Neodiprion lecontei: one gene and its partners. The protein of the gene in region 1 purifies or fractionates together with the protein of each later gene. This does not show direct contact. Links are inferred from orthologs where the notes say so. Each region holds a gene or a part of one and is shown in the gene's direction. Other genes may lie near its edges.

Region 1 (9,220 bases):
TGCGCGATATAAACAATCCTTGACCATTTTTCAGCTCCTCTTTTGCGAAAATTGTAATGAACACTCAGGCAGCGGAGACTCGGGGCGCCGAGGAGTCCATCGTCGTCAGGGAAGGAATGGCCGAGATATTGGCGAATGAGAAAAAAGTCTTCTACAATCCGGTTCAAGAGTTCAACAGAGACCTCAGGTAATCGTTCGTCGCTATGCCTTAAGGCAATGCCATATTAGCGTTAGAAGGATCAACTTGACCTCTTAAATAAGAGTTCTCTCAATTTTTTCTATCAGTGATGCTGATTTGTTCCACCTATGCAAACCAACATCACTCTGTCTAACTGTCTGAGTTTAAGTGTTTAAGCAACTTGTTTAAGCGTCAAGGTGACCCTAGTGTCACTCCAAAATTTGTACTATTGATGCATTGCTTAAATAAATATTAAGGGTTTCTATTGTTCATGTCTCAGTGACAATTCATTTTTCTTCCAGTGTCGCCGTATTGTCAATTTTCACTGAAGAAAGAAAGGCTTATCAAAAAATTGAACCTAGCAAGAAGGTTGCTCAAAGGTGTTCGGTGAGTTGGGATTACCATTTTGATGTAATTGATTTCTTTATTTTTGTGTGTTCAATTATCCCATCTACAGGAAGGCATTACGATCTTGGAAGCTCTGTCTGCTACAGGGTTACGCAGTATCAGATATGCCAAAGAGGTTCCGTTCGTTCATCAAATTACTGCCAATGACATTTCCGCCGCCGCGGTAGAGAGCATAAAGAAAAATGTACTCCATAATGGTGTGGGGGACCTTGTAACGACCAGTCACGAAGATGCAACGTGCGTGATTAATTTTTATTCCTTCTATTAAAGAATATTATCTTGACCTCGTATTAATTTTTCCTAGCAACGTGTAATCGCAAATGCTTAAATCTTTGAATTCTCTTTCACAGTATGGTTATGTACCGGCACAGGAGCGATCGATTCGATGCTGTAGATGTGGACCCTTACGGTTCACCTTCGGTTTTTCTGGACGGTGCTGTACAATGCATTTCCGAGGGGGGCTTACTTTTGATTACAGCTACCGATATGGCGGTTCTTGCTGGGAACTCACCAGAAACGTGTCATGTTAAATATGGCGCTATTTCCTTGAAGTCAAAAGCCTGTCATGAAATGGTGAGAGTCATGAATGTCTTGCGACGTTGTTGAATTGCTATGGAACACACGAACGCGGCCTTGACCTGGTAAAGAAAGTAAAATTTTCAGGCCCTGAGGATACTTTTGCAGCATATCTCATCTCATGCAGGACGTTACGGCCGGTACATACAGCCATTGATATCGATTAGTGTAGATTTTTATATCAGGGTATTTGTGAGGGTCTACACAGGGCAAATTGTTTGCAAGGGAGTAGCGAGTAAATTGGGAATGATTTATCAATGCGTCGGGTGCGAGAGTATTACTACGCAACCGCTCAGCATGACAAAGTCTGACAACAAGTACGGCCTGCCAGCAGGACCGCCAGTTGATAAGCTTTGTCACTATTGTGGTCACAAACACCATGTAAGCAAGCAAAAATCCGTATCACAGTGTTGTAGCGATATAACGATAATTTTGCCAAGGAATGTGAAGCAGTAACCTTACTCTTACAGATCGGTGGGCCAATTTGGCTTGGTCCTTTACATGATCGCCAGTTTGTTTCGCAACTTCTGTCCAAAGTGGATACAGGTGAATTTGGAACCAAGAAAAGGCTTCAAGGCGTCTTAAATGTGATTTACGAAGAACTAGACGTACCGCTCTACTACTTACTTGATCGATTAGTAAGAAGACACACAGCATTTGAGTGTATTTATGTGCGGAATTCCAAGAGTTTTAATCAATCATCTATTGATTGTCTCTTTTTCAGATGTCTATAGTAAAGTGCGAGGTACCCCCCATGGTGACATTTAGTTCTGCGCTGATAAACGCCGGTTATAAAGTGTCAATTTCACATGCACATAAAACATCGGTTAAAACCGATGCCCCAAACAGTGTTATATGGGACATAGTTCGAGCATGGGAAAAGGTGGCGTTATATTAAATAGTTAATTATTTGTTAACTGGCTGTATTATTATATCTCATTATGTTTTATTTGTGTTCTAGTTGCATCCGGCCAAAAAGGAAAGGTTTGAATCGGATAGCGCTGCGCTGGCTATTCTTAACACCTCATCTTCACATGAAATATCTTTTCAACCGCATCCCCTTGCTAATCCGGCATCGAGGCAAAAGAAATTATCCAGGTTTCAAAAGAACCCAACCGCATACTGGGGCCCCGGTACAAAGTCGACAATGATGTATGTAATTTGCAATTACTTGACACTCTTCACCGTTCGTATACCTATGTAGGTCTCTCAAAGCTGTGAACTAAGTTTAAACTTTGGTCTCCACCTAAAATTGATGCGGGTATTGACAAAATACGTGTATCCGCTTTCAGGGTGCAGACAAAAGATTCGATATTGAAAAAGAAGAAGAACCAAAATAAACATTTCAAAAGGAAACAACGCTCAGCTTCCTCTGACGAATCTGGCATCATGAAATCTTTCGATTCACCAGAAAAAGGCGACGTAGTTCCAGAAGACGATCAAACGAAACCGTCACCACAGAAACAGTTGAAAAGAGACTGATTAGTTTTACAAACTTGTACATATGTGTTAATATAACTCTGAATGGACATTAAAGTTTATAATGAAGAACAAGTGATTTCATTATATTGATAGCACTACCTCTTTTCTAGTTGAATACTAGTCGTTGAAAAGTATCCAGCTTGGCTCATTTCTGCTTTCAAATAACTTTTATACATCAAAGCGATCAGAGTTTAAAACACCTGCCCAGCAACTGTCGCCTTGACAACGAAGTGGCACAACTGTGAAAAAATATTGATTCGTGTTAATTACATTTACAGCTGTTTCTAGGGTGATGTGACGTCGTGTGTGCAGTGAGCTTGTTATTCTTCTAATACTAGGCTTATTCCAATTGTTTCAAGGATGAGCAAAGATATCAAATTTATCATAGCAGAGCTCAATAAAGTTTTAGATCGAAACTACAATTTGATCACCTTCGATGCATTGCGTTCTGATGATCTATTACAAGTGAGTTTGTGTTATTATTAAGCATGCACAATTTGAATAATGAAAGCAAACATTATCTGACCCTAACAATTTTTATAGGTTCTCAGCGATGTTTTGTCCGAAATACAACAAGATGGTCCCCCGCACGATGTTAGAATGGAAACCCCGGAACAAAACTCTGTACGCATCTTTTCCGCCCTGAGAGTCTTGAAGTATCAACCTCAAGGTGACCCAGCGTTATTCAGGTAAATGCGATATTGATGGTGATTGAGGATGAATGTAGAGACTGACTTTTCTATATCAATGTTTGCTAGTATTTTGCTAACGCCCTGTCCCCTTTTTTCGACTTTCAAGGGCTGTCTACCCCTTCAAGCTAGTTGAAAATGATCAAATTCATTATTTCCCTAGACGCTGCTAACTTGTGAGAACATATAACAAACAGTTGCATATTTGCGAATATCCTCAGGCACGGACTGGTGAAGGGAGAGTCCTCAACGATACATGCCGTTCTAAAATGGCTTCTGTCCAACATGGATATCTCACGACAAAGAGCATATCTGGCCCGCTTTTTGGTGAAGGTGACGATAAATAAAAAGTTTAGGTCATATAAGAATAATAGTTTTTGGCAATATGGCTTTACACGAAATACATACATTTGGCTAACTAATATACACCACAGAATTCCATATAGTTACATCATTTAACGGTATATCTAGAAAGAGTCAACTCCTTTTACGCAACTGGAAAATTGCACTAGCTTACCTATAACTTACTAAACACGTGATTATCCAATAAAATTTAAAAAAGTGTCACATATATCTTTTTTTTTTTTTAAAAAAACGTGTGCAGCTCATATGTGGTAGAAGTGAAACTTTTAGAAACTAAACTGCGAGAGAATGAGGAGAATGCAGTATCAGGAGTGGAATAACTATTCGTTTCATCGATAGTCGTTTCATTTCGTTACATCGATAGTCGTTTCATCGAGTTTCATCGAGTTTCAAATCACTACCACGCTAATTAAGTTAAGTTTTGCATTTCTGTTTCATCAATATTTCCGTTACATCGATCGTCGTTTCATTGAGTTTCACATCACTCCTGTGCTGAAGAAGTTTTCACCAATGGCGCTAAAGAAGTTTTCACTTCAAAAATGTCAAAATTCTGCTGTTAACTAAAAGTGTTTTAATCCGTATGCGAAAGTGGAAAAAATATCACTAGATTTCTTAGACAAGATAAAATTCCTTTAGGTAAATATTGAGCTACTAGATGAATAGTGATGAAATGTTATGTTTGGCTGATTCCCAAATTACACAGGTAGAAGTGCCCACAGAGTATTCAGGTGATCCTGAATTGACAGGACTGTACGATCAGTACGTGAGATTGGTCGACGAATTCAAAGTGATTCACAAAGAGCGAGAAGCGGGAAAGAAGGTAGAATATTTTAACAACATTCAACTAGACATTACAATTTTCCCCCTCTTGGCATGATGAATAATGTAGGTATTCACCCATCATTTTCTTCAGGGTGGTGAGGCTGCGGCAGAACTGAAGAATGACCTGGAAGCGATGCAAAAAGAGCGCGAAGTGATTCTGGGAAGAGTGGAAAAAATGAAACTAAGGGCTGAGAGTGCACCCCAATTGCTTGAAGCTGCTCGGAAACTTCGAATTGAAAGAGATAGGGAACGTGAGCTGGCGTTGCAAAAACGCCAACAACAAGAATCTACAGCTATGTTGCAGGTGAAACGACACGAACATTGCTTCTTGTGATGTCTATAATTCGATTTATTCTTGAAACCTCCCCCACCCAGGTATCATTGCAACGGATGGAACGCGAGCTGCACAATTTGAAGGAAGCTGGAGCAAGTCTTACACCCCAAAAACTGATTCAACGTTTGTCGGAAAAAGTTACCGTGCAAACAGCCATGTCAAGAGATCGACTACCTGCCGAAATAGCAGCAAAAAAGTCTCACGTCGATGCCTTAAGGTTCGTCGCTCGCTCAGTGCACCTGGGACCAGATGATATTATTGCGTTGCGGAATAAACTGGATGTAACTGCTCGCGAAGTACAAACTCTAGCTGAAAACAAGGTGACTAAAGGATATTGATCAGAGTTACAGTATTATACATGTCAAATTTAATGAAGATTTTCATTGTGTTAACGAGATACAGTAACAATTGAATTGGTGATATTTCAAATCGAATTTCGTTTTCTTGGTAGTCACATCTATACCGCATTTTTATGGTTATTGGAAACATAATACTGCACTGGGCGCTTTACGATTATCGCAGGCTACTGGAGGTACAGACAAAGTGGCACCATTCAGGCAGCAGGCAGCGGCAGTTGTTGGAATGAAGCGAACTGTGCTGGACAAGCTGAAGAGATCTGAAGAGACTCTAGAGGAAATGAATGCTCGGTTAGCCGAGCGAAGAGAGGAAGCAAGACAGCTCGCTGAAGAGCCAGCGCCGAGAGGCGACGAACTGAAGCGTTACGTGACGCACCTCAGGGCCAGGAGCACCTTATACAAGCAACACAGAGCGGAGCTTGCTGGCCTTCGAGCAGAGGGAGGAGTCCTAAATCGAACCCTGCGTATATTGGAGGCGCAAGTAATTGTTCCTTTTTTTTTAAAACTCGTTTTCATCTATGCTGGTGATACTGGCTTCTGTGACATCACTCTTTACAACTTAGCTCAGCCGCGTCCGGGTCAGTATCAGCCCCGTGCAAATGGGACCTGCGAAAACTTTACCCAATGGATTCACGGCAGAAAACGTGATCTCAGCCAATGCAGAACTGGCGCGGAATATCTCTGCATTCAGGGCTCAACTAGTCTCGCTGCTGAACGGTAATTACTATTAAATTATTATAGTTCTTCAGGGAGATCCCAAATTTCCTCAATTAAAATTCTCTGACTGTTCATGACAAAAAATTTAGAATTTCCTTTAATGTTGGGCAACTTTTATGACTTAAAGCTCCAGAAATTGTGCAACTTCGATATATAAATTTGCATTTAAAAATACACAAATAATTAAAAATTGAACAATACTATTTCCGACAGCTAGCTTAGCTGAATTTACGAGACATGGCTGAAATTTGAAAACAGTTTATCAAAAAAGTACAATGATTTTCCCTGTCGTTCATCATAATTCTCGGACTTCCCAAAAGACGAAATTCCTTGACTATTCGAGATTTTCCCGGTCTTTCGCAACTCTGTTTTTATAGCATTCACTATGGGGCATGTATGCATGTACAGAAAGTTAGTTGAAAATGTGAAACCTCGGCAATATTTAATTACAGACCTGAGACCACTAAGACAGAAGGCACAGGAAGTAGACGAGCAACACGAAAGAGCTAAAATTAGCCATGGCTCTGTAGAAACGAGCTTGGAGAGCTCTACAGTCGCATTATCATCTGAATTGAATTCTCTCCGAGATAATAATGATAAGGCAGGTTTGATAATGCATACACTATGCATGCATCAGAGAATAAAATACTCGCCACATCCCTAGCATAGGTATCCAAACTACTTTGGTATTCAAAGGTAAATTTATCCCTTTATATGCAGGAGATGGAAGAAATCAAGCAATTGCGCATCAACATATCAAAACTGAAAATTGCTAAAGACAAAATTCAGCAGGAGATGAGGGTGTGTAATATGTTGATTTGCTTTGGTCTCTTCGCACTTCTGTATCAAACAACTATAATCATACTTGACTTGCCTTCCAATCGATGCATCATTTACAGCGCTACGCGAGCCCCAGCAGTGGATCAACACTAAGGGATGAGCTCAACGAAGCAATTCAAGCAGAGGAAAAAAAGCTTAATTTTTTTAAGAATGAAGAAAAATCGCTGAAGGATCAATTGACTAATTGTGAGACGCAGATTCGTCTGTGGGGCAACTTGATATTGTAGGTATATACTTGGAATATCATGCAGAATGGAGTGCTTATAACAACTGGGACTCTTTCAGGATTTACGAGTGCAAATGGCAGTCCGCCGAGGAAATCAAACGCAGAGACGGGGTCGTTGTACGTGGACAAGGAGCAGAGACCTTGATTTTACAGTAATGCAACTATTTGTTTGTGCTATAGTTTTATGACAAAAGTAGAAATGGATAGTTTCAAGTAGGTACAAAACTTAGAAACGAGTTTTAAACAACATCCAAGTCAACAGTCCCAACCCGCTGACCGTAGCAAAATAAAAAGTGGTGCTCCTTGAGGTGCCTCCGTCCTGCAAAAAAAAATATTCATCAGTTTGTTATACGCTTAAGTGCGGTAAGAGTTGTACATTGCCGGTAGAGTCAAATCAAAAGTGGAGTTCCGTACCTCTAGAGACAATTTCAGTTCTTGCAGAGCCGATCGAGCTTCTTCGATCTCAGAAATAGTTGCTGCAACTGCCAATTCCAAAGCTTGGCTACTGCGCAGATTACCGTTTATTTCTATGAAAGAATCCATTTTTTCCTTGTTAAGACGCAATCTGGTATACGTAACAAACGCGTTGATGAGTGATAAATGTTTACCATTATTTTCCAGAGATTCTAATAGCTGGTCTAACCTGGAAAAATCGAAAATTATATCTGTACAAAACTTGTTCGAACGCCATTTATCATACATATTCATTCCTATGCATACATGTTTCAAATGAATACCGACTTTATATACTTTTACTTCATAAACCTACTTTTGTTGCGGTGTTAACACCGTTAAACTGGTACGCCTCAATATTGGAGACAACTGCTTGAGCATACGATGAGCAAGTTCATGGCTTGCACCTGTGACAAAAATTTAAGCATCACATAAGCTGTGATCCAAATAAATAGAACATTAGCACAATATTGAAAAAGGTAAAGATATCGAGTACCGAGTAGCACAAGGTCATCGTGGGTTAAATTAGCTAACATTTCAGTCGATATATTTCTCTCCCTAAATTGCGGTACAAGTTCTTTAGCTCCCATTCCACTCAGCAGGACTGCAGTCTGATTAGTAAATCCAAGAACATCCTCGCACTCCCTAAAGCCTGCCAATTCCATTTTCTTTAGGTGTTTTTTTCATCCAACGACAACTGTTGAACGTTCATTTTTCGAATTAGCTTGATCAGATCACGTGTTTTTATTACAACACCTTGTGCTTTTTTTTTAATTATTATACGGTGTAATGCATGTAATTGCAAATACTGACAATAGTTGATCGCTAACCTTATTTTCTACGGTTTGTTAGCCTTAGATTCCATAGTCTTTGGCCTCAGGTAGAAGATACCCGCAAAATGTACCGTTTGCCTGATTCGCTGGAATACAACTTATAGCAGTTTATATTCACGCAAGATACAGAAAACCAACAGAAGTGGCCTAACTTCGGCTTTCTAGAAATTCGTTATTCGTAGCGCACTTGTATTTACAAACAACCATTGCCGTGGTATGTAAACATGCAAAAACGTGTATACGGTGTATACACTGATCTGTATACTATCTGGATTATAAAAATAGAGCGTGCACTGCGCATTCGGGCCGTACAGAGCATATACAGTACAAGCTCTAAAGCTAAGACTCCATGTTCACCTCCGGCAAACGCATCCGGAAGGCGACTCCATGCACGCGGCAGACTTTAGCGCCACGCCACGTACGGAAATCGAAGATGCGTCGTAAAAATGTATACAAACGATAGATACATAACCTAAAAGAAAGGAATACTCTATCCCATAATTCCGGGCGGTTTCTCACGTAATGAATTACAAGTTCATTCACGTCATCACAATTATATTCCATAGTGGAATGTTTTGTTGATGTTATTGGGAGCTTTCCAGCAAGGAGACACAGTGTGACACTGTGTTAGACGGTCGAACACTGTGCCTTGGTGCTTGTTGGAACGCTTTGAGGTTCTTAATTCAGTCACTAGAGTCCGCTCATGCATTATACGAGAAATCTAGGATCATTGAGCGCTCCAGGAAAAAAAAATTTGTGAAACGCGTGTAGATTATCATTGCATTTAATAAATAAATATAAATAATACCATGCGTCGAAAATAAAATCTCTAACTAAAAAATTGGCAGCAATGAATCCGACACAGTGTCCAACCATGCTCCGCATCTGTATCCGACTTTGTCGTTCTGTGTCGTTGTTGGAAAGCACCATGTTCGACACAGTG
Region 2 (6,611 bases), on another chromosome or scaffold:
CCGCTCGAGAAGGAACCGAACTTAGGCGCTTTGTTTATCTGAACCAAAGTAACGTTAACGCGAACCTCTCATCTCTTTGTTGCAATACGTGGTATGTAGATTGTAGATGTAGCCCGTTTGCCTTTCATTTGAAATCGAGGAGGATGATGAGGAGGGGAAAAATCCCGCGCAGCATCTGCTCTTTCCGGCGCGTCATTCGACAATCCGCTGCGTGTCCCCGACGCCATCAAACCTATTATGTATATACCTACCTATCCTAGGGTCATATATATATATAAGTCTGGACAATAGGCATGTACATCTACCACTGCACACCCGTGCAGGTGTACAATGGGAAATCTTTTCCGTTTGAGACACTTGGAAGACAGCCTAAGCTTTACCAGCAACCTATAACGGAAATTGACTCAACAAGGTTTTTCCAATTTTTTCATCCTATATTAGTATCCTTTCCGATTCTTTCGGTATATCTTTGGACTGTATAGCTCTTTTGCAGTCTTTCTCGAATCAGAAGCTATCCCTGATTAATTGGTCAATAATAAAAGTGCATTTCAAAGGTAATTGTTGCTGCTGCATTGGCTGACGCGGTTAGTGTGCAACTGCTGCGGCTTGTTAATCTTGCGTGTCGCAAGTCCAGAGCGAAAGTATAAACCAGGGTATAAACATATGCCACGTTGTATGTATAAGTTATGCGGTGTGTAAATTACTTGTAGTTTGATACATGCTGTATATATTATTAAAATTACGTACAAGGAGTTGTGGAGTAACTGAATGTGTGATGATAATGCAATTATTAAATGCATGTATGTGTACACCTATCTATCTTCAAGTGTGAGATATCAATGTGCCTACATGCTTTCGAAACATTAATTTCGGACTCGTTTTATCTACGTATGAAAAAAAGCTGCGCCCGAAAAATTCGAATTTCGTTACATTTCATTTGTCAGTTTATTCGATCGGCGTTGTTCTTGACAATGGCGATATTTAGCTGATCGTCAGTAAAAATATAGACCTGTTATACCTATATGAGAAGAAAACAGAAGAGGCGAGAATTCTGTACAACGACAAAAAGTTTTCATTGCAAATGTTTACGTAATTACAGTCATACGTGAGGTATGCGAATCGCTACAACGTGACAATACGTCAGACAATACCAATGTAAATAAACGGTTTCTTTATTGCTACGTATTCTTGGGAATATGTTGAGTTTTCTTTCTCAACTCACGATCGTATAAACATGGACAGGTTTGCAATGTCATTTATACGAATATAAATAGTAATTAAAAATTATGCAAAATTACGTTTGTGCAGCGTAAATTTGTGGTTGACTCGCACAATCAGGCACACATAAAATTTCCCGACGGACAAAACATCACCGGAGCCAAATGACAGCGGAAAGACGTTGAATGCATATTTCGTTGTCCTTTCGGCTACGATGTTGTTTCAGCGCTGTGTGATATTTTATCACTTACTGTTAAAAACGAGTAGCTTCCTTGTCGATCCAAGCCGTTTGATCGGCGATTTGATACCGTCGATCTCCTCCTCGTCCATAATAACCAAGTGATCGTGAAATCTTCGAAAACTTCCGACTTCAGCTCGTCGATGTTACGTGAGCAAACCTCTGGCAATATCCGTACACATACGTGAAATACGTAAACAAAAAATATGAAGATATAAACAATCCACTTGTCACAGATTTGAAAGCATTCTTTGGCACAGGCGATCAGTAAGGTTCATCGGTTGACAAAACCGGTTTAAGAAACCAGGTAGAGATTCGAAATTATATACGCACTGCTTGCTGGCAACCGTTGGAATTTTCTTTAACTCTATTTCTACCGTATGCAAACTGCGCGCTCGGTACCGCGTCCACGCACAACACACAATCAACACATAACAAACACATGCAAACGTGCATACGAGGCACTTGTCTTACAGTTACGCCGCGCAGCAACGCGTTGGTCAATTGTTTTTAAAGTTCTGTTCCGGTCGCCGTTGAGGGAAAAGTCGAATGGAAAGTGGCACCACTGACGGCCATGCGACCGACGTTCGTAGGTATACTGTCGTTACTGGTAATAGTGCAGCCGTCGTAGGTAGCCACTTCGAGGATATTCCTGGACTCGGATATAATGTATTAATTCAACTTAGGGGAACCGCCGCGTCGCTTTGTTGCTTAGCAACTGTTGACTACGCAGAGTCGACTGCTCGAAACGCGTGCACCACCTTTCTCCGTGGACTAATGCTACCCGGCCACCTGTTGGGTGCCAGGGAAACCAAGGTGGTACCATTTTGCCGATAACAAAGAACACTGTCGACAAGCTGCTAGCGGAGTTATGACATGACGTGGAAGGGGAGGTTGTGTTCCAATGAAATACCGTTTCCCCAGAACATATGACGGCCATCTTGGATTTTCAACCAATCGCATTTGAGATAATTTGGTGCACATTTGAAAGGGTGGAAACTTCGCACTTTTACATCATGACGTTGTTGCGGGGTTTACATGGCAACGCTAATTTGTACACAAATAAGAATTCGTTCATACCTGGTGAGCATATGACTACCAGGCAATTGTCAAGTTCTACACCTGCAAATCTCATCCTTCTTAAGAATCAATTTTACTGAATTGCTAATCATGGACCTTGATAGACCTACAACTGGTAGAGGTGCTGAGAGACCACTGACGCGTTGGAGAAGAGAGCAGGAAGACGTTTCCAGGCCGCAGAGTAGAATCGAGAGACCTTCTTCGAGGAGAGGGGCCAAAATGGACAGCCAGGAAATGCCTGTATCGAGTAATTATCGCGCAGCAACTGCTGCAACTCCTGGTAGAAGCGTCGTAGGCCGACCACCTTCTGCTTCGGCATTCTCTGCTAGAGTACTTAACTCCGCTAGCTCCCGGGTCAGCGCTACCAGCGGTGGATCTTTTGCTGTCCAAGGAAGACTTGGAACTGGCCTTCCATCTGCAGCTCAGGTCAATCTAGTCGACAGACCGATTACGCAGCAAGGAATCGCCGGACTTCGGCCTGGGACTAACAGGGGACTGCCCATGACCAGGCAAGGATTTTTGACGGTATAATAAGTTATTAAGAACACAGCGAATATCGTGATATACTTTAGATCGTTGCTTTAAATGTTGCAGACAAGTCCAGGATCGAAGATATTACGAAGGTCTCCTACAATTGAAGATACGAGAACTTACACAAGAAATTGCAGTCATAACGCGGCAAGTCGACAGTCAGAGTAGAGAAAGAGCAACTTTTCTTCACTACGATAAACGAGCCAAAGAATTGGCAGCGGAGCTTACAGAATTGCAGGGGCAACTGGCCGACTATAACATTGTTGTTGATAAAATGACTTTAGACCCTGACAAAAACTCTCTGGAAATGGAGGCTAAATCTTTGGCCGTGAAAAATGACCAAACTATGGCTGAGATAGAAAATTTGTTTGCTCATCGTCAGCAAAAAGAACAAGAGCTTCGGGCCATCGAGAGGGAAGTAGAATTGGAAAAGAAGAATGCAGAGAGAATAGTCGAAGGAATGACTATTGAGCAGCGTGCTAAGTACGACGATTTGACAAAACAAAAAATTGAACTGCAGAGTAGCATAGATGTTATGCAAACAGAGCTGGATCGACTATCTAACGAAAAATCGACCATGGAAGAGCAGATTGCACTTTCACAGGCTAAGCAGGAGGCTGTCAAACTTCTTGTTAAGATTTCAGAGGTTGAAGGAAAACGCGATAAACTACGAGAAGAAGAGAAGAATAGACTGTCGCCAGAAGAAGAGCGAATTCAACTCCTGGCCAAGGTAAAGCAGGATAATGCAGATGTCGCTGCAGCTGAGAGGCAAACAGCTGAACTTAAACGACGTATAGCTGAGGCTGAGCATGAGCTAGAACAGTTGGAAACAGATCTCGAAGAGTGCCAGTCAGCAAGGCATGTAAAGTACAAAGAGATGAGAAAACGAGAAGAGGCAATGGAGCAATTCATGGCCACCTTTGACAGGAGCAAACATGAAGAGCTTGAGAGACTTGATAAACTAGAGACTACAATTGTCGAGCATTTGACACAAATATCAAACTGTGTCTCTAGCGATACTCACTTAACTCCTGGTGATGAGTTGGCAATCCTGAACATCCAACATGCCATCAGCGAAGACCCGGACGTTCCTATTAATGTCGACCAAACTATCGAAGGATTGAGCAGCGAGCACACAAGGCTGCAGCAGAATTTAATAAAAATGCAGAGTCTCGAAAAAAGGCTGAAAGTCGAGTTAACGGAACTGAAAGAAAAAATAGGTAAAAAACAAAGTGAGTTGCTTGTCCTTGAAGATTTGGATGGATTGAAGGCAAGGTTTGAACAAAAGCGAGAAGAGATGATCGCAGAACGGGCAAAACTTCGTGAGCGCGAGCCGTCCATCAAACAGGAACTGGCTTCTGTACGTGGAGAGTACGAGGAGATCAAGTCACAGCTAGACAAAAATGAAACTTATGTACAGATAAGCTCGCTGGAGGATAAACTTGAGAAATTGAAACAAAATAATGAAACATTACAGAAATTCATCAGGGAAGAACGCGAACGAGTGGATTATAACGCAATTAAGAGCAGAGCACTCGAACTGGTGGATCGGTACAATGTTAAACTAAGGGAAAGCGTCAAAGGAATACATTAGTTTATGTACAATATTTTTACTATTTAAGATAATTTCAAATATTGTTAGCGTTTCTCTCTTTTCATCTTTGCTTGTAATTCGTCTGGTAATGAAACTTTCTGCGAGTTCAAGAAGTTTATTAAATTTTCAGTAAATTTTGGTAGTGGAATAATGTCCTCTGCCTGCATTCTATCCCATATTTCTAGCGCTGTTTTGTAATCACCAGACCTACCTGTATGACCACAATAAAATAAAGATTAAAGTCATAAATTGTGATCGAAAAATCTGTCTTGAATTATTTCTCAATTTACTTACTGCACAATGTCAAGATTAGATCGTAAATAATCCGTGTGTCCAGCTTCATCACATTTCTACACGCTTTCAAAATCCCTTGTAAGGCTGTTAAATTTTGCTCAGTCATCAAGTTTTTTGCACTGACTTCCATTGTTTTTTGGTTCACAGCTGGCATCTAAAAAATAAATCGAGTTATTTTAGTACAAGAAAGGTAATTGAATTACTACGAGAAATGATTCGTGTTATAGCAACAGCGATTAGAAGGTCACAATTTTTTTTTAAAATTCAGATTAGTCTTACTTTAATAAATGATTGGAGTTCCTTGTGTTTATTCCTTGCCGCTAATGCCGTGAACAAATGAGAGTTTCCTGCTGCTTCTCCAGAAATACTTTTTATCACCATTAGTACATCTGTCAACTGTTTTTGAGCATCAGGGTTGTCGGTAGAAATATCTACAAGAGCACGTAGCAGTTCTTGTTTCAGAGGTGTCAGTTTATACACAAGTGCACACTCTTTGAATTGTTTAATAGCTTCTTCCAAGTTACCATTTAATAAATTTGTCCTGACCAATGGACTGAGGACATGAATGCTCACTTCGCAATACCCTTTTTCGAGTAAGATATCCAACGTTTTTTTTGTGGCTTCCAGATTTCCATCTGCAGCAACTGCATTCAAAAGTCTCCAGCAGTTTCTGATAGTTTTGGGTCCACTCGTAACATTTTCCTGTTCTCTGAGTACTTCCAGACCTTTTTCGAATTTTTTATTCTTTACAAGAGCTGTAGCATAATCAATTACCTTGTAATCATCGATTATAAAGTCTTTGTGATTTGTCTTCAGATCTCTGAAATATACATCAGCCTTATCGATCATATTATTTGTGACATATAAGGAAAACATGCTGGAAATCATTCCGGACGTCCATTCAAATCCCTTCTCCTTAAACAATTCTGCAGTTTCCTCAGCTTTCTTAAAATTATTTTTTCTACAATAAGCTTGAAGGAGTCTTCGCAGAGTACCTCGTGTATTCATACCCTTAGCCGTTAGGTCAATGAGATGATTCTCCAGTTGTTCAAGACTCATTAATTCAGGGTGAGGTATCCATACATCCGGAATTTCATCATTTGTACTTGTTTCAGCAGTGACTAATTTTTTGAGCGTCTTCATTGACCTCTCAGGTTCCGCTAATTGCAATATTCTTAGCTCCAAAGCGTCTGCAACTGTTTTAGAAATCTTGAGATTGTGTTTGTCAAAGGCAAAAATAAGAGAAGCAAGTTCCTCATTGCTTGCTTTTATTCTTTCATTTGCCATTAGGTCCTCAAAGAATTTTCCATTCTGATCACTATCCGTGTTGATGTTTCTCAAAAATTGTACTGTTTCATTAAAACTTTCTGTCACTCTACATCCACTGACAAGTCTTTCTATGACAATGTACAGATCAAGTTTTACCTTGATTTTTTCTGTTAGAGCTATGGCATCCTTCAGGTTTCCTTGGTCTAAATAATTTGTCAACAAGACTCCGAATAGATCGGACATTTTCAAACCACAATCTTGCAATTTTCTAATAATCACCAGGGGCTTTGGTGCGCATAAAAACGGAAATACGTAATGACACAATGTCTCATCATCTAAGTAAACGCCATTCTCAACCATGTGCTTAACCAGCTTGAGCACATCAGT
Region 3 (6,848 bases), on another chromosome or scaffold:
TAATAGTTGGGCAATCTTGATACGTTGAAAATAAACTTTCAATCATTTTCTGTGTGAAATAAGATTGTTCGACTTACGTTATCGACGTCGTCCTCATCGTCGTCGCTAATTTCATCACCAAACTCAATATCTTCGTCGAACCCATCCTCGACAAATGTAACAGTATCGTTGATGCGAACTGTAAAAATAAAACACGTTTATTAGGCACTAAATCAAACTCAATCATTTCTCCGTTCAAGATAAAATGAAATTTAAACAGATTTTGAGAACACCGAACGGAAACTTATGATAATTAGATAATTAAAGATGTGGCTAAATGCAATTCTTACTTCATAAATTGAATCAAAATTAAAAGTCTTCGCAAGTTCCGCAATATTTTACATCTCCTACCACCCTTTACTTTAATCTCGATGAAAATAATCTATTTACAAATAACGACCACTCCAAATCCTACCTGTTTCTGGAAATTCTCCATAAGTTTTGAGATTACGAGCTTCGTCAGATGTATATTTGAGAATAACGTCAGCTTTGGCATCTTGGTAATCACGAAGGCCGATCAAAATAATGTCACCTTGATTGATCCAAACTTTTTTACGAAGTTTCCCTCTGATGTGACAAAGTCTTTTAACCCCGTCAAAGCACATCGCCTCAAGTCTTCCGTTACCAAGCATCTTGGTTACTTGCGCGTATTCTGTAAAAAAAAAATACGTCAGTATTTTTTATTCCATTATTTTTCGTTCAATACTATTTTGCTCATGAAAAAAAATATTGTGCAAAGTTCATAACATTTCTTTGAGTCACCGATCAATTTGTCTTGTAAAATGTCGAAACATAAGTTGAAGAATAATAATATATCGGATAGATTAGCTTGCTTGCAAAAGTAAATAGGCCTGTGTCATAAGGCATATCATGAACGTGCGTGTTTTTACTTACCTTGGCCATCTTCCTTGAATACCAGCTCTCTCTTTTCAGTTTCATTCTCGTTCTTACCTCTTCTCCTGTTTTTACCTCCCTTTCCTAATAACACAAACACGGAATATATCACTCATCACGAGCGTCATTGTCGATGACGACATTAGAGGAGAAAAAATTATGCATTTTTTTTTTTATCAAGGTGCATCGACTATTTTTAACGCCAGAATGACACTGGCAGGTTATATACCAAACTTAACCACATTGTTCGATAAATCGTGCCAGTCATTCGATTTTGATGGAAGGTTAATTTATGGGTTCTTCGACTTCAAATGATTTTTAAAAACTTGCTAATACTCTGACTTACCTTTATTCTTCGGCATATTTTAGTTATTAACTCCAATTAGATGATGAATAAACAAGTATGTTCAACTTTAATGAAAATGAAAAGAGCACTGCATCACCATGCCAAACCCGCAGAAGAAAGAGGACTACTCTATGCTCAAATCAGCTATGAATATCGTCCAAAATAGCAACCTTTTATTGCCGAATAAACTTCTCGAATACCAATCATACGATAATTTGCTAAATATGAATTTAATTGTTTTCCCCGCTTCGTATGTCTTCAAAACATAATCGAAAATTTGTTTATCATTTTGTCATTTGACTTGGTTCATGCAGGAGAGGGAAATTCGAAATTCATTCAAGTTTTTATTCTTTCGTCAGTATTTTTTTTTATTGGTATAAAATTAAAAGATATGTGAAAATATTGACTACCGCAATTACTCTCATTATTATCGTATGATTTATTCCATATTTATTTACTTTCTTCGCTTTTAGTCACGGAAATAGGCTACGGTAAAATCATGCGAGTTGGGTCTCTCTGTCACATTCATGCCATTTTGTCCAATGGTATTTCTTTCGGGATGCGTGGCGTCTCCTTGCGGTTATGTTGATACCTATGTGAAGTTGGCGTCCGACCTTCGAATTTCTTGAAAATTTTAATGCCAAAATATTGCTTTCTGATTGCTCATAATTACAGTCAAACTTGTATTACTTGCTCGAACATGATTTTCGAATAAATATATATATAAAAAAAAAAAAATGCATTTCCGGGAACGGAATTGAATTCAGGAGTGGAACGTGATTTTTATAAAGAAATTATATATGATCGTGGACCGTCTTGTAACGTTCACTTACAAAAATATAATACTGATGTTTTTGTATTATTATCATGCAACGCATTGGTTGTATAGTGAGGCCTAATGGCGTACAACGCAACATGTTTAATATGACACGATTTATTGATGAATACTTTTTTACAGAAAAGTCTTAGAATTTAAATCGACTTGCTTATAATATAAAACTTTTGCAAAGAAATTTTGTGTTGTGATGATAATGAACAGAGTATAAATGAGATAAATTAGTAAGGCATTGAAATTCAAATAAACTTAAGGAATTTAATTACATTTTCACAGTTTGATCGATTAGCCAAACAGTATAATTGTAAATCAAAATGTGGATGCTTACTCTTGTCATTATTATAAAAAATAAATTCATGCAATAAATAATTCTTGCGATAGTATAAAAAATAAATTCATGCGATAAATAATAAAAAATAAAAATAACGCAGTAAGTATTTAACATATTTTCTCTTTCATTTTTTTTTATTCAGCCTCTTGCCAATTTCTTTCTTTTAATTGATTCAATTTGCCAAACCTAGAGTGACAGTCTTCGAGTTGCATGTAAATGATGTCCCAGAAACATTGCAAGTCGTCATTGGTTACCAATTCTTCTTGCGAACCAGTTTCACATTTGGTTACGAGTTTTCGAAATAGTTTTACCTCTTTGTTGATCAACAGATTTGATCGACCAATTACGTGATTTATCATACATTGAGCATCTTCTGGGGTATCAGGTGCAGATGTTATCATCATCCAATCCCAACAGAGAGCTTTTAGTCTCATAACTTCTCCGTCTGTGACTTTTCTAAAATATAGTGGTGTTCGCTCTTCATTTTTTTCAAACGCTGCAGCAGTTAGTAATTCATCACGTTCAGATTGCATTAGCACAGTATCAGTCTTAGTGTTGGGTTGCTACAGCAGTTTTTGTCTTAAAGCTTTTTTCTTTCGAGCATAGAGAATACAAGGAGAGCAGAATTTAGGAGTAACCGTCGTGTAAAGATCTTTTTTCGGCTGTTTCAATGCTGCCTGATCAAGCAAATGCAGGGACGGTAAACAGGCCGGCGGTCTAAACGCATAATTTTCTGGTGCAAATGAACTGCCTGGAATATTTATTATTTCAATACTTTTTGAAGCTTTGTGTACGATCCCTTGGTCCAAAACTTTTGTGATTATTTTTTTATTCCTTAAAATAATAGTAGCATCAGGTGAACGTGCCTTCATACAAGCTTCCGATGCCAGCCTTTTTGCAGTGGCTCTAGTGATTCTGGGTGACATCGTTGACTTGATAGGTTTAAATGCTGACAGACTTTGGTGTAGGAACATAGAGGAATTTAGTTTATCGTGACAAACTCCAACACACAATACTGGTGGTTTCATTGCTTTTTGAATTTTTTTTTGCAAATCTCTTTTTACCCTCCATCTCAACAATTTCATTCGTCTATCTTCTTGGACGATTTGATTTTTAGGTCCATCTGTGAAAATTTTTTATTCCATTGATGGTAAAATCTTGCCAATGTGTTAGTAGGATTTCAAGATAAAATTATTTTTTGATAAGAAAATTTCAATACAAAATCGTAAGTACATCAAACTAAGTGATATTCTGAAAAATGAAAAAACAGTGCAAACCCCTAGGTCTAAATTTTCTACCTCTGCCCATGATTATACCGAGTTGTACTCAGAATTATACCATGGACATTAGTGGTGACGGTGGGCTAAGTTGAGTACTTGTATCAAATGTAATGCTTTTATTTCTGTATAATATTTCTGTCAGCTGACTGTTCGTAAAAAAGGTCCCGCTATGCTTGTAGTATTATGCTATTTGTTTCCTTTACATGGTTGAACTAAAAGGGTAGCTGCGAGAGATCAATAGTTATTAATTCAAGCGAGACAATGGTAATAAAACGGTAATAAACAGTGATAACGGTTGATATTTTAGGAACAATGACGAGTTAGCTAACGAAAGAGAAAATGTTACCGAATAGAAAAATGTACTAGACTATTACCTTGTACGTTTTCCATGCGCCCGATGCTGGATGTAACCGGAGAACCTGCTCCGATGATTTTTCTATTAACATTATATGCGTCCAAACGCCTTAGTTTTCTTGCATTTTCTTTTTCAAAAGATTTTATAATTCTCGACTCTTCTAAATTGCCGAATCCAGCCGCTTTTTTCTTATAGTGTGTTCTAAGACCTGCCATATTCTCTGTTGCTCATGATCAGAAATAATGACTGACTACCGAGATAGTTGACTGCCTCTGATGGCCTGGTAAGAAGAAGGAAGAGATCTGTCCTGTGGTAAACACGACATCGAACATAACAAGGATTAAATACCACCTCGCTCGCATTCTAAGCACAAAACATATACCACATTCTGCAAATAATAACACGTTTCCAACAGAGCGATGGTAAGAGCTAATGTTGACAATTTTTCTCAAAGATGAACAATGAATCATTAGTAAATCATCTGTACTTTTTGGGTTGACATGCTTTTCACTTAATTAATAATAATAAAAATCGATCACGTGCACTTGTAATAATCTTCTTTTTTTATGTCGATCTTATAAAACGTTATAACTAGAACAAATTTGACAGTCAACAACAATAATAACAGAAGACTTTAATGGGACGTTATGTATAATTACGTCTGTTAAACGTTATAAATCAATGGATAATTAATGCTTAATCATTTATAATAATAAAGTTAAATAACTTATATATATATCTGTATATTCTTTAATTCATTCAACAAGTCCTAATACATTGCATAAATGACCTTCTTGTGATTTAATAATATCTCTAGAATGGTGATAGATACAGGAAAACTAATGAAATTTGGTAGGTTTCCTAAAGGCGAAATTAAATCGGGCAGGTAATTAGTCCATTATAAAGACTTCCCTGGATTTTTTTTTTAATTATAATCTAATTCTAATTTTCGAATGTCTAATATAATTTGAATGTGAGCGAGGTGGTATTTAATCCTTTGTTATTGTTAGATGTCGCGTTGATCGAGTGACAAATTGTAAACGCCAGCGGCCAGTTGCCAGTTGCCAGCGACGCGAGTGATGCTGTCAAATGTGAATTAGAAATTTACTGTGGCAAAATTGTTGTTTTAAAGTTTGATAATAATACGTCAACCGGTTAAAAATACTTTGTTTACGGGGTTGATAGGTGGATGGATTATCTTGCGAAGTTTTACGCGGTAAATCAACGTGAATTAATAACGCGATTAAATAGTTTTGCAGAGAGCTACGACCTAACCTCCAAAATCGAGGTAACTGCGGTTTGCAAGTGAAATACGCAACAGAGATAATCGGATTGTTCAAGAAGAACGGGCAGCAATGACGACGCTCATACATGACGATGATATTTATTCTGGATACAATGACTATCCTTCGTTATTCAGCACTAAGGATTTGGACCAGGATGAATTATATCAAGACGCGATTAAAGCCAGCTACGCAAAACGCCCCATTGTAAGATTTCAAACACGTCTTTAACCTAAGCAATACTCTAATGTAATAACGGCATCTGATACATTGTGAAGGGTGAATTAGATCTCGCGTGATGTCGTATTACGTTTCAGATCACACCGAAAAAACCTGGCACTGCTATGCGTCTTGGAACTTCGAGCGGAGTGAGTTATACTTCACTGCATTATCATCAATACACAATCCTCTGATATAGCCCATATGAAACATATCTGACAAATATTTGTTATACTGCTCATTAAGAGCACAGTTTGGTCAACTACTAAGCTCAACGCTAAAAGTCTGCAATTATTGCTGGTGTAGTTTCACAGAAACGGAACTGGAATGATCGGCAGGCCAGGCACAGGTCCAAGGCCAATGACTGCGGTGCGTGGGGCTGGCTATACCAGCAGTAGTAGGCAACCTTTTGATCCATTGAATATGAACAGTAGTTCGAGAGGGCCTGCACCACCGTTAGAGACGGGTAAAGAGGATACGTAAGTGATTTGTGTTTGAAGATTAAGCGGGTTGATTCAGCCAGATTTTTCTGTTATTTTAAGTGGATGCATTGTTCATCTTGAATACTTCATCATTATTTCTAGACCTGAAGAAAAGATAAAGATCGCAGAACAGAGGATAATGGAATTGATAGAAAATTCTGTGCAGGCCATCTGCGAGAATAACTTTCGTGTTGCCCTCGAGAGAGCGAGAGAAGCTTCGTCTAGGGAACGAGCCCTTATACGTTTACAAGAACAAGCTGGGCTCAGTGACAGTCATAATGTTGATCTAACATTCGCAGTGAGTTGCATAGTGCATTTTGTGTAATAAGTGACAAAACTAAACTCTTAGTGAAATTCGTGATTCTGTAAAAATACAATGTTATTCGCAGGTACTTTTCAACTTGGCTAGCCAGTATGCTAATAATGAAATGTACACAGAAGCCTTAGCTACGTACCAAGCAATTACCAGGAACAGAATGTTCAGCAACAGTGCGAGACTGAAAGTAAACATGGGCAATATTCATGTCAAGATGGGGCAGCTACCGCAAGCAATAAAAATGTACCGTATGGCTCTAGACCAAGCTCCTACAGCTCAGAAGGATCTCAGGTGAACACCAGACATTCAATTCAAGTACTTATTCAATTTGCAGGTGTATTCGAATGTATTACTTTCACGGATTTAGTTTTTGGTATCTTGTTGTTCAGTTTGTAATTGTAAAGTAATTCCCAAAATTTACGTTAACTGACAAGTTTTGAACAGTATTCAGTTAATTGTAATTACCTA

The links.
Region 2: the proteins of intraflagellar transport protein 81 homolog (region 1) and intraflagellar transport protein 74 homolog purify together in Homo sapiens (affinity purification with mass spectrometry; 3 studies listed by BioGRID and IntAct, counting the BioPlex papers as one, with this or other methods). This does not show direct contact. The link is inferred for Neodiprion lecontei from reciprocal best matches to the Homo sapiens genes IFT81 and IFT74.
Region 3: the proteins of intraflagellar transport protein 81 homolog (region 1) and intraflagellar transport protein 88 homolog fractionate together in Homo sapiens (co-fractionation; 3 studies listed by BioGRID and IntAct, with this or other methods). This does not show direct contact. The link is inferred for Neodiprion lecontei from reciprocal best matches to the Homo sapiens genes IFT81 and IFT88.

Annotation. Positions count from the first base shown.
Region 1 is NC_060264.1:23,610,116-23,619,335, forward strand, and holds intraflagellar transport protein 81 homolog, read left to right. Parts: upstream 1-2,912; 5' UTR 2,913-3,004; coding exon 3,005-3,109; intron 3,110-3,187; coding exon 3,188-3,333; intron 3,334-3,554; coding exon 3,555-3,666; intron 3,667-4,399; coding exon 4,400-4,516; intron 4,517-4,609; coding exon 4,610-4,822; intron 4,823-4,893; coding exon 4,894-5,172; intron 5,173-5,374; coding exon 5,375-5,689; intron 5,690-5,771; coding exon 5,772-5,925; intron 5,926-6,377; coding exon 6,378-6,526; intron 6,527-6,645; coding exon 6,646-6,726; intron 6,727-6,824; coding exon 6,825-6,988; intron 6,989-7,050; coding exon 7,051-7,147; 3' UTR 7,148-7,217; coding exon of another isoform or gene 7,218-7,310; 3' UTR 7,311-7,405; coding exon of another isoform or gene 7,406-7,634; 3' UTR 7,635-7,746; downstream 7,747-9,220. Other genes in the region: probable tRNA (guanine(26)-N(2))-dimethyltransferase, read left to right, coding at 35-187, 481-565, 636-823, 937-1,159, 1,250-1,543, 1,633-1,800, 1,887-2,045, 2,124-2,314 and 1 more; uncharacterized protein LOC107222349, read right to left, coding at 7,218-7,310, 7,406-7,634, 7,761-7,851, 7,941-8,109. UniProt on the Homo sapiens protein: Component of the intraflagellar transport (IFT) complex B: together with IFT74, forms a tubulin-binding module that specifically mediates transport of tubulin within the cilium. Binds tubulin via its CH (calponin-homology)-like region.
Region 2 is NC_060260.1:40,247,299-40,253,909, forward strand, and holds intraflagellar transport protein 74 homolog, read left to right. Parts: upstream 1-2,547; 5' UTR 2,548-2,626; coding exon 2,627-3,045; intron 3,046-3,130; coding exon 3,131-4,661; 3' UTR 4,662-4,705; coding exon of another isoform or gene 4,706-4,872; 3' UTR 4,873-4,924; downstream 4,925-6,611. Other genes in the region: SLIT-ROBO Rho GTPase-activating protein 1, read right to left, coding at 1,470-1,548; leucine-rich PPR motif-containing protein, mitochondrial, read right to left, coding at 4,706-4,872, 4,956-5,109, 5,235-6,611. UniProt on the Homo sapiens protein: Component of the intraflagellar transport (IFT) complex B: together with IFT81, forms a tubulin-binding module that specifically mediates transport of tubulin within the cilium. Binds beta-tubulin via its basic region. Required for ciliogenesis.
Region 3 is NC_060260.1:5,204,319-5,211,166, reverse strand, and holds the start of intraflagellar transport protein 88 homolog, read left to right. Parts: upstream 1-2,506; 5' UTR 2,507-2,544; exon of another isoform or gene 2,545-3,008; coding exon of another isoform or gene 3,009-3,568; intron 3,569-4,099; coding exon of another isoform or gene 4,100-4,295; intron 4,296-4,418; exon of another isoform or gene 4,419-4,502; intron 4,503-4,801; exon of another isoform or gene 4,802-5,331; 5' UTR 5,332-5,435; coding exon 5,436-5,570; intron 5,571-5,680; coding exon 5,681-5,731; intron 5,732-5,888; coding exon 5,889-6,061; intron 6,062-6,166; coding exon 6,167-6,362; intron 6,363-6,453; coding exon 6,454-6,671; intron 6,672-6,848. Other genes in the region: eukaryotic translation initiation factor 1A, X-chromosomal, read right to left, coding at 78-178, 455-691, 934-1,017, 1,280-1,295; uncharacterized protein LOC124295468, read right to left, coding at 3,009-3,568, 4,100-4,295. UniProt on the Homo sapiens protein: Positively regulates primary cilium biogenesis. Also involved in autophagy since it is required for trafficking of ATG16L and the expansion of the autophagic compartment.